3 linked regions of the Kluyveromyces lactis genome follow. The protein of the gene in region 2 purifies or fractionates together with the protein of the main gene of each other region. This does not show direct contact. Links are inferred from orthologs where the notes say so. Each region holds a gene or a part of one and is shown on either strand. Other genes may lie near its edges. The genes, in order: NOP58, ENP1 and LCP5.

Region 1 (4,989 bases), about 160 kb from region 2:
TCATTAACAGGTTCTCTGTCAAGAACGTTCGCCTTCAAAGAATCCAAAAATTCATCGGTTTCATCCAGAAGAATTCCTTTATCACTATTGTTCAACATATGAATTCCTTTGCTTCTTTGCTGTCCTTCGAGTTTTTCCAACTCCAATGAATTCTTTATCCCTGTTATTTCCTCATTACTGCGTTTCTGTTTGACTTTGACAACTGCCTGAATTGGCCGGTCTGAGAAATCCTCATCATCTTCCAAAAGATCAACTTTCACCATTCTCGCTGTGTCTATTCTTCTCGGTTTCTGGTTTTGATTTGATTTCTTCTTTCGCCTTTTAATCTTGACTGGTGCGTAATCTTGATATGGTTGCTCATCATCTGAGTCACTTTCAATTTTGACCCTCTTAGGGAGAGACTGGTGAACAGGTAATGGTTTATCATTTACTAAGGAGTCGTGTAATGGTATGTCAGATCTTGAGTTTGTATCATTAGCCTCATCGCTGTAATCAAAGATGGAGATTTTGTTTAGTTTTCTATCTTTATTCAATTGCCGTAGCTTAAGATTTTTGGCATCCTGTTTATCATGAACTAGCTTCTCATTCTCTAATATGTTTTCGTCATCAATATTCTCTTCGTCGTTTGTCACTGAAGTTTCTTTCAATGTAAAAATGACTGCTTTCTGTTCAGCAATAGATTTCAGTTCATCTGATACTGGGATATGGTGATGCGTAATGTCATCATGTACAGTAGCATTTTCAGCAGAAGATTCTTTGTGAGTGATAGGTTTCCCAATTTTGGAAAGCCAGTCATCAATAGATTCTTTATCAGTAGTCGCTCTTTGGTCCACTGCTTCCTTTGATTCATATATTCTTTGTTTTAGTTGACCAATCTTTTTATCACGATCTTGAGCGCTTCCATTTATTTTTCCAGAAGCACAATCCTTTTCGGAGGGACGTGAACTTAGCTGACTAGATCTTCGTACTTTCCTATTTGTATCAGATGCACCTTCTTTTGATTCTGTTGACGTCTCAGTGGGCCTAGGTATAGTCTTCAAACCTAAACTTGCCCTAATTCGATTTGTTTCTTCCAAAGATATAGAAGTAATCTTACCCATGGCTTTGAAGTAACTGTATGCCTCGTAGAATTCGTATTGTGGTCGAATATCCTTATTATCAAATCCTGTTGCTTTCTTTCTGCCTCATCTCATCGCCAACTTGTCCGAATTTAAGAATTGTATATTTCAACATTTTCATCAGTGAATATTTTGATGTAACTATCAAAGCCATTGACGATGACAATGAGAAGAAGAGTACAGCGTATGACAATAATTCAATTATTATATTTTGTTTGAATTTGATACAGACTAATTTACAGAGGTACACACATAGTATGTTCGTATGTAATGGAACAGATTTATACGAGGTTATTAGAGATTTAATGCAAAAGAGTGGGGTTTTAATGTGAATACTATATCTATTTCTTTTCCTTCTTAGATTTCTTATCCTTTTTTTCTTTCTTTTCCTTCTTTTCCTTCTTTTCCTTCTTGTCTTTCTTCTCCTTCTTAGACTTCTTAGATTCCTTAGACTCTTCATCATCGTCTCTCTTTCTCTTCTTATCCTTCTTATCCTTCTTAGATTTCTTTTCTTCCTTGGTTTCTTCCTCGTCCTCGGATTCATCATCAGAGTCAGCAGGAGCAGCAGCTGAAGACACGGTGTCAGCATCTGCGTTGTATGCTCTAGCCTCTGTGATTTCAGTCTTCTTGTGCTCACGGACGACCTTTGGTGTGGTTCTCAAGTCTCTGCCTTCTAATTGGGACAATCTTGATTCTACCTTAGCTCTGGATTCCAAACCGATGTCACCAGAATCGTCTCTATCTTCAGCCAAAGCATCGTAACGCAAAGAAACGGCAGCCTTAGCAGCCAAAACTCTGGCAATCTTACCCTTGTTCTTACCAGATGCTTGGCCAACCAAGGAAGCGTGGTACAATAGACCATATTTAGGAGTGTCATGCTTAGTTTTCAATGCTCTGAAAAGAGCCTTTTCAGCACCCAAGATTTGGATGGTGGAAGCTGGAGACTTGGCCAAAGAGATTAAAGAACCAGAGTGTGCGATCAATCTAGCACCAACCAATTCACCAACTAATTGAGTCAAATTTGGAGCAATAGCCTTCATTCTTGAAGACAAATAGTTAGAAAGTTGTTCTCTGTAGGCAGCAAATTCAACAATTTGTTCGGCTAAACACTTGATATTAATCAAATCAACTGGGGTAATTTCAGTACCCATGGAGACTTCGGCAGCGGTCTTGACTCTCTCTTCAATTTCTTCAGGCAAAATTTCAGACATGTCAGTTTCAGCAGCATTAACTCTAATACCCATGGTCAAGATTATTCTGGCGTAAGCAACAGAATCAGTAACAATCTTGGCCAATTCTGGGAAATGCCAACCGTACCATTCCTTACATCTCATAGCGTAAGTGTTTAATTCTTTATCTAGATCGTCTAGCAAAGCAATAGCTTGGATGATCATAACATCAACTTTATCAGCAGAGAACTTCAATTTGTGACGACCGATGGAGTGAGCCAAACCCAATGACATCTTGGAAAGATCTTGATCGTTCAAACCTGGCAAAAGTTCTGGCAAGTACTCCTTGACTGCACGGTAAATATCTAAGGTGACGGCATCAGAGACAACGTTGAAGTTCAAACCCAACTTGTTGATAGCGTTTGCCAATTTAGTTTCAGAAACAACTAAGGTGGCCTTTTTGTCGGTCTTGCATTCTTCCAACAGTTTTTCCAATTGGGAAGAGACTTTACCATCAATCACAGAGTTAGCTTCTTCCAAAGCATTTGCAGCTGATGAAAATTTAGAGAAAGCAGCAATCTTGAATTGGTTCAAGACCTTGTCACTGCTGTTCAAATCCTGAATCAAAGAAGAGGACTTATAGATCTTCTTGTCAGATGCTTTCAAAAGAGCATACCCAGCTGAGGTTTCTGTCAAGACGTAGGCCATCGCTAAAAAGTCTTTTATGTGTATGTTGCTAGATGATCCTAATTATTCAACGGGTTCTTTGAGATATCGTAGATATGATGGATGTGCTTAATTCTTCAATCGAAACGTTAATACCATTCTGTAGTTCAATACTGATGAGATGAGCTTGTCGAAAATTTTTCAATGTTAGTTAAATTTCAAAAAGAAATGAAAAGAAAACACATCTGGACACCACATATATAAATCACGTGTTATAAAGGGACCAGATAAAGAACTGCACTGTTTGTTCTTCATATATCGAGACCAAGCACATTCCAATGGCCAATACGGTTCACAAAAGCATCAAACTAGACGTTGTATATTAAACAATATTTGCTGGTAGTTTTTAATTTATTCAAGTCTATACATAAGGTGAGATGTAGAATATATGTGCCAAATCAATTGACTTGTATACAAAAAATGTAGGTGTGAAATGTGATCATTAACTGTCATTTCCTCCCGTCTATCTTAAGTTCTCCGGTTATAGTCAAATATTCAAAGGGATTGAATTTCATATGCGATCATTGAAAGTGGTACATCATCAGTGAGGAAGGTTTTGATAAAAGCCTGCTCAGTGTAAAGGTAAGAGGAGGGAACACGAAAAGTAAAATACAAACTAGGTAATGGTAAATGGTGCCTCTACGCACCGCTCTCCTCAATTCTTGAAAATGCGGATGACAGCTGTCATGAAAATGGCGGATAGAACTGGAATAGTGAAGTTATCATCCCAGTTAAACAAGTCGATACCTTCACTCAAAGCTGCGACAAAACCACCTAATAGCGAAAGTTGTAGTAGGTTTAGTTTGCTTGTCTCTTCGGTCCAGGAGATTTCACCTGGTTTGTTCACCCAGTTATAATGAGGCACAAAGAATCCGTAAAATGAGTAACAAGTTATGAGACCAACGGAAAAGGCTGCAATGGAACCTGCTAAAGACTTATTTCTGGCCAATTTTGGTGTAAGGTGTCCGTACTTTCTACCGAAAGTAGACGCAGCGGTATCTGACCAACTTAGTAAGAACAGTGAGATTAACGCGATATCTTTACTAAAAAAGGAGAACGCAAAAGTCAGGCCCAATAAGTACCATAGGACTCCATTATACGTATGAATTTCTTTTTTCCTCATCAATGCCCCAACACAACGACAATACATTTTATTGAAGAATGGAGAACGTAGACGAATGAAGTCTAAAATAAATACGACAGTAAATCCTACTATCAATGGAAATTTCACTTTCTTGTAATCAACATTTTGAGTGTAAAGATATAGGGTAATAAAACCAATAGATGAATGGAATAGTTTCCGTGGTATTTCGTGTTTTGTAATGAAATCACCAAACCATTCATGTGACTTTAAATGAATTTCTGTTAATGGTAGATGAACATCACTCAGACTCTTTCCCAAGACAACTGTTTCCTTCTGTTTCTTTGTATTTACTCCGTTAGGAGTACTCAGTCTCTGTTTTAACTCGGCTTCGTTGCCAGAATCATTTGAATTGTAGTCAACCATCTATTCAAAATAGTAAAATGCTAGGATGTTCTTCTCTATTGGATCTCGTCGATTTCTTTTGGAATTTCTGACTTCAGTTCGTATCGGAAGTGTTTCGTATGGTGGTCAAGTTCCAGATCAATAATCAGAACACAATAACGATAACCGGACAAACCTTAGTAAGACAGTAGAAACTAATGTTTACCAGTTTAGTTGCAGTTTTGAGCACAAGTTACCTATTATAGATCAGTTGAAGAAAACTTGCATCATGATCAATGAGTTGAAACACTGACCTCATCAACCGATTGCTTCTTTCATTAAAATGTTTGAATCATTTATCGCAGATTATTTATTTATCACTCGAAAAATCAATTCACAAGTGAAGAAGTCACATGGCAAGTAAACGCTATATGTTACCCGCACTAAAATCATCATAACATCATTTCGTCAGAGGTTCCTTATGGACCCACTAATCAATGTACAGCATCAC
Region 2 (4,746 bases):
AAAAATTTGATGAACCAAAAGAAAAGGATACAAAACTTGGTTAAAGTTGGTTTACTTTATACTTGACCTCAGTACATGGTCCAGTTGATAAGTATTCTTGTCATTTGTGGTTATCTTTTTGGTTCCTAGCTCAGCAAACAAGGGCTCTTAAACACATTTCGGCATGTTCAATTATGGTTCGCGTTGTGGTTATCATGGCGCAGACTTATTCCACGCATGTAGAAGTAAGCTCAAGATGCCCAGAGCTGGGATACTCCCATTTAACGCCCTTTTCGCTAACAACAACTGAATTCCTACAGTTTGTAGTTTGATAGTAGGTGGGCGGAAATATTACCCATTTAATTGGTTCAGTAGTTTCCTCTGAAATATTATGAGAGTCGTATGAATTTGTATATCAATAAGATTTAGCAATAGTTAACCAAGTTCAGCCTTATGTTATACTTACCATCGGTAGATACATTAAGTAGCACTCGGTCCACTCTTTCTTACATGCGCTTTTGTAAGGGTTGGCAAGGGTCATGCTTCAGAGTGAATGACTTTCATTCAGACAGCTCTGTTATTTCTTTGATTGAGGTTTGGGATAATATTTTAGTGACATAAAACAAAATGTAATATAGCCTTTAAAATAATACTTAGTACAATTCCAATCACAAATAAAAAGGGATAGCGCCTCGTTAAAGGACATTAACTGACGGAATATGACGACAGATTTAGACACATTAAGTGATCAACTACGCAAAAATTATTACAGGGACCTTTCGCTCTTTCAAGATGACGAAGACCCTTTTTACCATTATCTTATATCTACAAAACTGGCCACAAACTTAAATACCGTGAGAAAACTGGCTATAAAGGATAACTTGGATGATCCGTCTTCTGATGCTATTGATAGATACCAGAAAAACTTTAGCAGACTAGAGGAATCGGTTAGCTCTATCAGTTTCTCCAAAGCTTCTAAGTTGCAACAGAAATATGATGCATATCAGGAATCTCAAAAGAAAAGGCGATATAGTGTTGATTTCGATGCAACGCCCGACGTGCCTATAGGAGATGAGGACGATGTTGATATAATATCCAATGTTGAAGCAATTAATGACAACGATTCTTTGAAGGAGCTCCGCCAAAGGCTTATGGGTAAAAGAAGGGACAGCGCTGATACGGAGGGTGAATCATTTGACAAACAAATGCAAATTCAGGATGATCTTCAGAAGGAACTGGTTGAAGACATGTCCCAGCTAGTTTCAGGCTTAAGACAAGGTGCGGAAGCTTTCCAGAATGCTATCGAACACGACTCTACTGTTCTTAAGGCAGCAGAAATCGGATTGCATGTTACTTCTAAGAGCCTTTCTTCACTCGGATCCAGATTGAAAAAGTATCACAATGAAAAAATTGGATTTTTAATGAAGTTAGGACTTTTATCGTTTATTATAATTGGTCTATTGGTCACCTATCTTGTAATAAAAGTATTTCCAGATTTATGAGTGTCTTCCGCTAAAATCTCCAAGATTTAGATAAAGGCTCTGCTTCACTCAAAAGCTTCAAAGTACAAAATAGACTCATGAATATTCGATGAAATTAATTGATACCGTTTCCACTTATCGAATAGATTGATTCTATTGATTGTCTTATCTATAATTGCATATTATACACTTGTTTAAAATTGACAGGCACTTATATTGTTATAGGACTATTGACTACAGAACATCAAACATTAAATCAGCTTTATTACCAACATCACTGACAAATTCTCTACTATCACCGGCTAATAATTCTCTTCTGATTTCAGGTCCAATTTCTTTGTGACCTCTTTGACGAACAGTTTCAAGTAGGAAATCTCTTTGATCTTGGGTAATATCATTCTTATAACGTTGAGCAAACGCTAAGAAAGCTTTATGCCATACCACAGGTAAGACTCTGACGGCATCTTGGCCTGTACTTCCATCAGTGACTTCTCTGAATCTCATGAAGTAGAAGACACATTCGTCAACAGTTTGATAAGGCAAAGCATACTTCTTCTCGAGTAGAATTTTGATGAAAACGGTGGTGGCTGGGGAAAAAGGTAATCTTAAAAGGTAGGACAATGCTGCAGCAGAATGAAGAGCTGGCACAGAGACCTTGGATAACACACTTGCAGCAATGGTAGCTTCTCTAACATTACAACCGGATTCCACAAGTGGGAATAAGAACCCTTTGAAAAAGGCAGCCGGTTTATACAATGATTTCTTTAATGCACGGTAGACATGGTAATTTAAGTTGTGATCTTCGTTAAATTCAATTTCTTCTCTGAAGCGTGGTAACAACACAGCTATAACGAATTTTTGGGCCTCTTTAGATGATAAGTTAGAAACAAAAAGTTTAGTACCTTCGTATATAGCATGCGGAGACCATTCCTCTGGATTAGTAACATAGAGAACATCTTGCCAGTTATTTAGAGAAGGCAAAACTTTGAATAGTTTGGGTAGTTTACCATGTCTCCAGGTCTGCATAATGGTACCAACGGCAAGGTATGCTTGAATCACCTTGGGTGGTAAGGCGACACCTTCTGTACGATCTACAGGTGCAGCTGGTTCCGCTACTGCAGAGGCATCACCTGCTTCTTCTTCATTATACTGTAGTTCCATCTCTTTTTCTCTAATAGAAGCCATAATCTTATCGGCAAGGTTATATGATCCATTGGCAGAGTTGAAATCAGCAGAAGTCTTGAAATATTGGTCAAACATTTCAGCATCTTCTTCGTCAATTTCTACCACTTCTTCCTCCTCGTATCCTTCGAAATCGTCTTCATCTTCCGGTTCAAAGTCAGATATGTTATTACCTTGAGCTTCCTCTTCCTCAGCTACATCATCTTCATCCGCATAGTTGGCCACACAGAATCTGTTTATTCCTTGGCTGGATGTCTGCAGAGACTGCTCGTCCTCTTCCTCTAATTCTTCCTGCTGTTCCCTAGCTAATTGCAAAATTTTTCTAGATTGCTGGGCATCGACAAATTCTTCATCTTCATGGCCTTTTTGATCCTTAGCATCGATCTTTTTCTTACCTTGTCTTTTCAACTTACCATGTTGAGAGTCAAGATCGTTCAATAAAGGATCGTGTCTCTGTTTACGACCGCTGCCACCCATTACTTTACCCATTTTCTCCGTAGAACAAATAAATCTTGTATCACTAGTCGTATTCTGAGCACTAAAGCAGACACTAATGAGTAATTTTGTGATTGTTATCTGCCATTTACCTCATCTCATCTCATCTCATCTCATCTCATCGCTTCTCATCTCATCGTTACTTATTCAAATCCCAAAAATTTTCAGTCAATGCACGGACAGAAAAAGAAAGGCTAGAGATACTCTGTTTAGAGAAGTCAAAGGTTCAATTAAATAACTCTGGAGCATTGGCAGCGGGATCGTCGTGATTGAAACAGATATGCCACAGCGTTGAACACAAATTCAAGCTACTGTAAACAGCCAAGAGCTATGTTCTTCTAATGATTACAGGCAAAGAATGTTGTTTGTTTTGCACGTGACTTTAAAATCTGGAAAGATTTTTCAACTGCAGCTTAGATTCGTTTTACGTATATATAATTAACAATGGATCAAGTGTAATGTGATCTCATATGCGTGGTGACACATTGCTGGTCTCTTGTTCACTCAAGCTTCTCCCTTGAGTTGTACTTATCGATTGATCAAAAACCAAGTGTTCATTTCCGTTTTTTTCGTTCCTTGCAATCTTAGCAAAGTTACAATTAACATTAGACTAGGCCCTTCCAATTAATCTTTTAATTGACCACCAGTTACTGAAGAAATCATGTCTAAAAGATCTTCTAGTGTAGCGAACACTCCAGTTAAAAGGAAGCATTTACACTCTACTTTGAATCATAAGTTTGTTAGCATCAATTCTCAAGATGATTATAAACATTTGTATAGATCTGTTGTTCCACTTGACATTTTTGTATGGGGAACTGGATCAATGTGTGAACTAGGCTTGGGTCCTCTAGCTAAAAACAAAGAAGTTAAGAGACCTAGACTCAATCCCCTTTTGCCCCGTGATGAGGCTAAAATTGTGTCTTTTGCTGCAGGTGGAATGCACACCCTAGCGCTAGACGCTGACAATAACATCTGGTCGTGGGGGACTAACGACTCAGGTGCTTTGGGTAGAGACACTAGCGGAGCTGTAGAAAAATTGAAAGATATGGATGCAAATGATAGTGATGATGATGAAGATGGTGACCTCAACGAAATTGAATCCACTCCAACTAAAATTCCTAGAGACTCTTTACCATTGGACGAATTAAGATGTGTACAGATTGCTGCCACAGACAATCTATCTGCTGCTCTATTTGAAAATGGTGACGTTTACGCTTGGGGTACCTTCCGTTGTAACGAAGGTATTTTAGGTTTCTACAGAGATGAGATTACCGTCCAGAAAACCCCTTGGATAATCCCTAACTTCTCCAAGAAAGCCAAGATTGTTCAAATGGCTGCTGGGAAAGATCATATATTGTTCTTGGATGAAACTGGTATTGTTTACGCCTGGGGTAATGGTCAACAGCAACAATTAGGTAGAAGAATTTTGGAACGTTCTCGTTTGAGAACTTTAGATCCAAGACCATTTGGGTTGGATAACATAAAGTATATTTCATCGGGTGAAAATCATTCATTTGCCCTTTCCACGGACGGTAAACTGTACTCGTGGGGTCTTAATCAATTCGGGCAATGTGGTATATCTACAGAATTAGAAGATGGGTCCTTGGTA
Region 3 (4,855 bases), on a different chromosome or scaffold from region 2:
ACTCATCTTTCTTGAGCTTTTTTATTAGCTTTCTACCTCTTACTCTAGCCATGATATTACAGTTCCTAGCCTTTTTTTAGAGCACGTATCGAATTAAAGTTCAAAATTATTTAAAATAGCAAAAACCAGAGATGAAACGCCTGAAACCAGCAAGTATTCTGTTCTAGTTTGAAGCTCATCGCATGGGATCTAACTATGTCCTGCTTCTTTAAAGCTTTTCATTGAAAAGTTGAAAAGATCAGAAATTTCTTTTTGACGTGATATCAATCACGTGATATAGAATTGCACAAAAGACATAAGAGGTAGGCATATTAGGCCGTCCTCTCATGACTTGTTAACGGTGTTCTTGGGGACTTCAGGAAACGAAAACGATTGTAATAGTTGATTGGGGTCGGTGTTGGTGTATGATTGTTGCTCTACACGTTTCTTTTCCTTTAATTGAGCCAGTTTCCGTAGTCTGTCGACTCTTGATTGGAATACTAGGTCGTGTAGAGTGTATCTATTGCACGTCTCTCTTGATGCAGCTAGCTTATCAAGTGTCGCTTGGTACGTTTGCTGCAATTCTTCAAGTGAGTTTGCTTCATCGGTCTTCTTCTTGTCGTCAGAACTCGCGTCATCCCTGTCCTCTTTCTTATCATCAGATGATGATGGCTTTTTAGAGTCAAAGATCTTATTAACCCATTGATCCCAGGTACCTCGCTCTTTCCTTTGTAGCTCCTCTATGCGTTCTTTGAGTGGCTTAAGACTAACCAGAGACTCGTGATACTCTTTTGGGTATAGAGGCTGTACAAACTGCGGGTTATCAACTAGATGTATATCGCATGTATAAAACCAATCAGGTCCGCTTCCATTGAACAAAACTGTGACTGTAGGGTTACCACATATCAGACATGCTTTCCTATCCTTTGCTGAGACTTTCTTTCTGGTGTATTCGTTCTTCATCAGGGGCGCTGGAAGTTGTACGCTGGTAGGAGATTAGTAGGGGTGATAGGTGGTGATTATATCTTGCAAAGTTGGAACGCTTAGATTGTATTAATTAATTATTGGTGATTACACCTTGATATGAAGAAAACGAGACAAAACGAAACGAAACAAACCACATCAAAGCTAGAGTTTGAGCAGTGCAACACCGTTATCATTCGATTTATAAACTACGTATTTGACACTATATGATGACAATAGAGACGTATGGATATTTTAGCCTATTTATACATAGAAAAAGAAGGACCTCAGGTTTACAACTTCTTCTTGGCTCTTTCCCAAGCATTTCTAGATTTCTTATTACCTCTTCTGCTTGTACTATCCTCCAACTTACGCTTGGAGTTGAAGATACTGAAATCTTCACCGGCGATCATATTAACCTTGGCCATGATTTCTCTTTGTTTTTTCATTCTCTTGTCAGTCTTGGATCCGTTGGGGTTCAATCTAGTGAAATTTTCTTCTTCGAATCTTTGAACATCACGTTCACGTTCTGTATCTCTTGCTGTCTTCACACCACCTCTACCATGGTTGACGATATTGGCACCGATAGAAGTTTCCCATTCCGGTTGTTCCGAGGAATCCTTCAAGTATTCTTCCATAGCTTGCATACGAGACCTGCTACTCTTATCCTTATGTTCTTGTGCGTTGAATTTATCCTCGAAGTGATGTTGCTTTGGTGGCAGAACGGCACTGATCTTAGGTGGTCTATAAACGTTATCTTTATCATCCACATCTTCTTCATTGTGAGTACTCTTGACAGCGATTTTCCCCTTGGCTTTCCCTCCAACTGATGTGTTATTGACCATTCCTGAACTGTTCGGCCTATATTGCATCTCTTCTTCACTATCAGAATCTGAGTCTGATACTTCTTCCTGGGAAGCACGTACGTCACTCAGTCCCTGCAATTCGGCTCTTTTCTTGGATTCTTCAACGTCTTTCTCCAGTCTAATGTACGCCCGCGTCAATTTATCCAGCTGGTACCCTAACTTCTTCTCCAAGGGCTTCACACCTCTTTCAAGAACAACTCGTTGTTCCACTGCCCTGACTCTACCCTCATCAACAACCATCTCTTTATTCAATTTCTGTCCCAATACCAACAGAAGCGAATTCAAATACGATAGCATACTCCCATTCTTCAAAGAAAGTAGAGAAACTTTTTCTAATTTATCACCTTTGTGACCTACCACCGCTGAACCTTGGAAAGGATGGGTCTCCTCATCATCATAGACTTCTTCTAACTTATCCAAGCTTTCTCCACAAGATTTCAAAGAATCTCTAATCGTTTTCAAAACAGTTCCTAACTCCTCAGACATGGCTATATTTCCGCTGTAACCCTTGTCAATAGAATGTAATGAGGTTTTATACATCAATAACAGTAGATCGAACCTATGCCAAACCCACACCAGACAACCAAACTTGTATCTGGCTGATACCCATCTCATCTCATCTCATCGCTTGATTCCAAATTTTTTTTTTCACTACGTTTCTTTTCGACATTTCCTATTGAATTTTTTTCTTTCAATGAGAAAAGCATACAAAGACAACTTGAACAACTAGCTCATCGCATGGGTTAACATGTGGTAAGAAGTCCATTCAAGGAGTCCGTGTGTCCGTTTGTGATTTAGAAGTAAGTCATCACCGAACAAGTCGTTCTTACAATAAAACAAAGATGCCTCAAAACGAATATATCGAACAGCACATCAAGCAACATGGTCGTAGATTAGACCACGATGAGAGAAAACGTAAGAGAGAAGCCCGTGAGGCTCATAAGATCTCTGAAAAGGCTCAGAAATTGACTGGTTGGAAGGGTAAGCAATTTGCTAAGAAGCGTTATGCTGAGAAGGTTGCTATGAAGAAGAAGATCCGTGCTCATGAGCAGAGTAAAGTTAAAGGAGGGTCCAAACCGTTGGATGAGAACGGGGAGGCTTTGCCTACTTATTTGTTAGACAGAGAACAGAACAACACTGCAAAGGCTATATCCAGTTCCATCAAGCAGAAGCGTTTGGAGAAGGCTGACAAGTTTTCTGTTCCTTTGCCTAAGGTCAGAGGTATCAGTGAGGAAGAGATGTTCAAAGTTGTTAAGACAGGTAAGTCTAAGTCTAAGGCATGGAAGAGAATGATCACGAAACATACGTTTGTTGGTGAAGGGTTTACAAGAAGGCCTGTGAAGATGGAAAGGATTATCAGACCTAGTGCTTTGAGACAAAAGAAGGCTAATGTGACGCATCCGGAACTTGGAGTCACCGTTTTCTTGCCAATTCTTGCGGTGAAGAAGAATCCTCAATCGCCAATGTACACACAGTTGGGTGTATTAACCAAGGGTACTATTATTGAAGTGAACGTCTCGGAATTAGGTATGGTTACTTCTGGTGGTAAAGTGGTTTGGGGTAAATATGCTCAAATCACGAATGAGCCAGATAGAGACGGTTGTGTCAACGCTGTGCTACTTGTGTAAGAACAAGTACAACCTATTACTACCAAAATTCCTACTCATCTCAATTATTCCCTATTGCATCACCCCCCACTCCGCTACGTTATTGTATATTACTATTTCATTTTAGAACTGAGTTCCCTTATTAGAAAGTACTGGCTAAATCATCATTATTTAATCATATATTTAGCGTTAAATACTGAATTATAGCCAATGAGACTGACAATTTCATGCCTCGCTGCCGTTGAGATACCAGCTATTCCAATGCATTGAACTAATTGCTACTCACACGTCGTGTCAATTGACCTTCTGGACCCTCAGGTTACCCTAAGTATTCATCTTTATTGTTTCACAATAAAGTAGGGTACTACCCTACCAAATCATACCAAATAATTTTATCTATATATATATATATATTCAGTATTATACATACACATTCTTTGCGCTTGATATACACAAACTTACCTTCAAAACAGCACTTATTAGGTCAGATTCTAGCACTGGTCCATATACAGATACTAGCGTCGACGTTGTTCAGGAAAAGAACATCATTGATCCCACTGGAAACGAAGTAGTTCCCCAGATCAAATTGATTTCTGGATCTACGTTCTAGTTTTCACCACAGAAACTGATCCGTAAGCAATCAGTGCTTTTTCCAAACCCCACCAGTATGTATTGAAATTTGTCCTAACGGACAGCCCCTTTACCCATTAACCTTTACCTTCTTTCCCCCTGTTCTGCATCTACAGAAAGCTTTTGCCAATTAATGATCCAACTTGAGTCTCGTTTAAATTACTGTTATAGTGATACTGAAAGTAGCACTATACAGATTCTCATATTAGAACTGTTGCAGGTGACTACAGTACCTTTGATCCAGCCTCTTCGCTCAATCCAACCCTCTTTTTGATTCACATTCTCGTCCTGATTTAGAAGTGCCGGACAATAATCCTGGCCACGGTGGACTTCTCTGCCTAACAGCTATTTCGATCGTGAAAAATGTCTGTCCAGACAGATTGTCCGGCACGTGAGCAACCCTGGTTTTCCCTGAATCATTTTTCTCAAATTCCTGTCTACGCTCATCTGATCTGCCTAGACCGCGGGCGGCGCCCCCGGTCTGGCTAGGCAGGGCAATAGGAAAGCAGATATTTCCTACGCGGGCGTCTACGTATTTCTTGAGTATTATTTTTCATTATCCCTCGAATAGTATGGAAGAATCAGAATCGTATAAGAATAGAGAGAATCAAGAATCACAGAGAGTTTGCATTGTAAGAAGAGCGTGTTACTGGAACAATTGTTTGAGGTTTTCCTGGTGTATACAACAGACCTATGAGTTTTAGGGTACGCTAGACAAAAGATCAGTTTCTGATTTGTGGGCTTTTTATACTTTCGCTTGTTTTATATTTGTTTGCTTCCAGATCTGGTACCAGATCAGCTGCGAACTAA

What was found.
Region 1: the proteins of ENP1 (region 2) and NOP58 purify together in Saccharomyces cerevisiae (affinity purification with mass spectrometry; 4 studies listed by BioGRID). This does not show direct contact. The link is inferred for Kluyveromyces lactis from reciprocal best matches to the Saccharomyces cerevisiae genes ENP1 and NOP58.
Region 3: the proteins of ENP1 (region 2) and LCP5 purify together in Saccharomyces cerevisiae (affinity purification with mass spectrometry, with the first as the bait; 3 studies listed by BioGRID). This does not show direct contact. The link is inferred for Kluyveromyces lactis from reciprocal best matches to the Saccharomyces cerevisiae genes ENP1 and LCP5.

The regions. Positions count from the first base shown.
Region 1 is NC_006042.1:800,164-805,152, forward strand, and holds NOP58 (RNA-processing protein NOP58), read right to left. Parts: upstream 2,996-4,989; coding exon 1,460-2,995; downstream 1-1,459. Other genes in the region: U4/U6-U5 snRNP complex subunit SNU66, read right to left, coding at 1-1,100; DGK1 (diacylglycerol kinase), read right to left, coding at 3,669-4,520. UniProt on the Saccharomyces cerevisiae protein: Required for pre-18S rRNA processing. May bind microtubules.
Region 2 is NC_006042.1:636,996-641,741, reverse strand, and holds ENP1 (snoRNA-binding rRNA-processing protein ENP1), read right to left. Parts: upstream 3,132-4,746; coding exon 1,695-3,131; downstream 1-1,694. Other genes in the region: SNAP receptor USE1, read left to right, coding at 699-1,481; SRM1 (Ran guanyl-nucleotide exchange factor), read left to right, coding at 3,799-4,746. UniProt on the Saccharomyces cerevisiae protein: Required for normal export of the pre-40S particles from the nucleus to the cytoplasm.
Region 3 is NC_006041.1:1,204,415-1,209,269, reverse strand, and holds LCP5 (small subunit rRNA maturation protein LCP5), read right to left. Parts: upstream 2,424-4,855; coding exon 1,236-2,423; downstream 1-1,235. Other genes in the region: RNA-binding RNA processing protein NOP9, read right to left, coding at 1-52; VFA1 (Vfa1p), read right to left, coding at 325-942; rRNA-processing protein NSA2, read left to right, coding at 2,651-3,436. UniProt on the Saccharomyces cerevisiae protein: Component of the U3 small nucleolar ribonucleoprotein. Required for the early cleavages at sites A0, A1 and A2 of the pre-ribosomal RNA. Participates in ribosome biogenesis.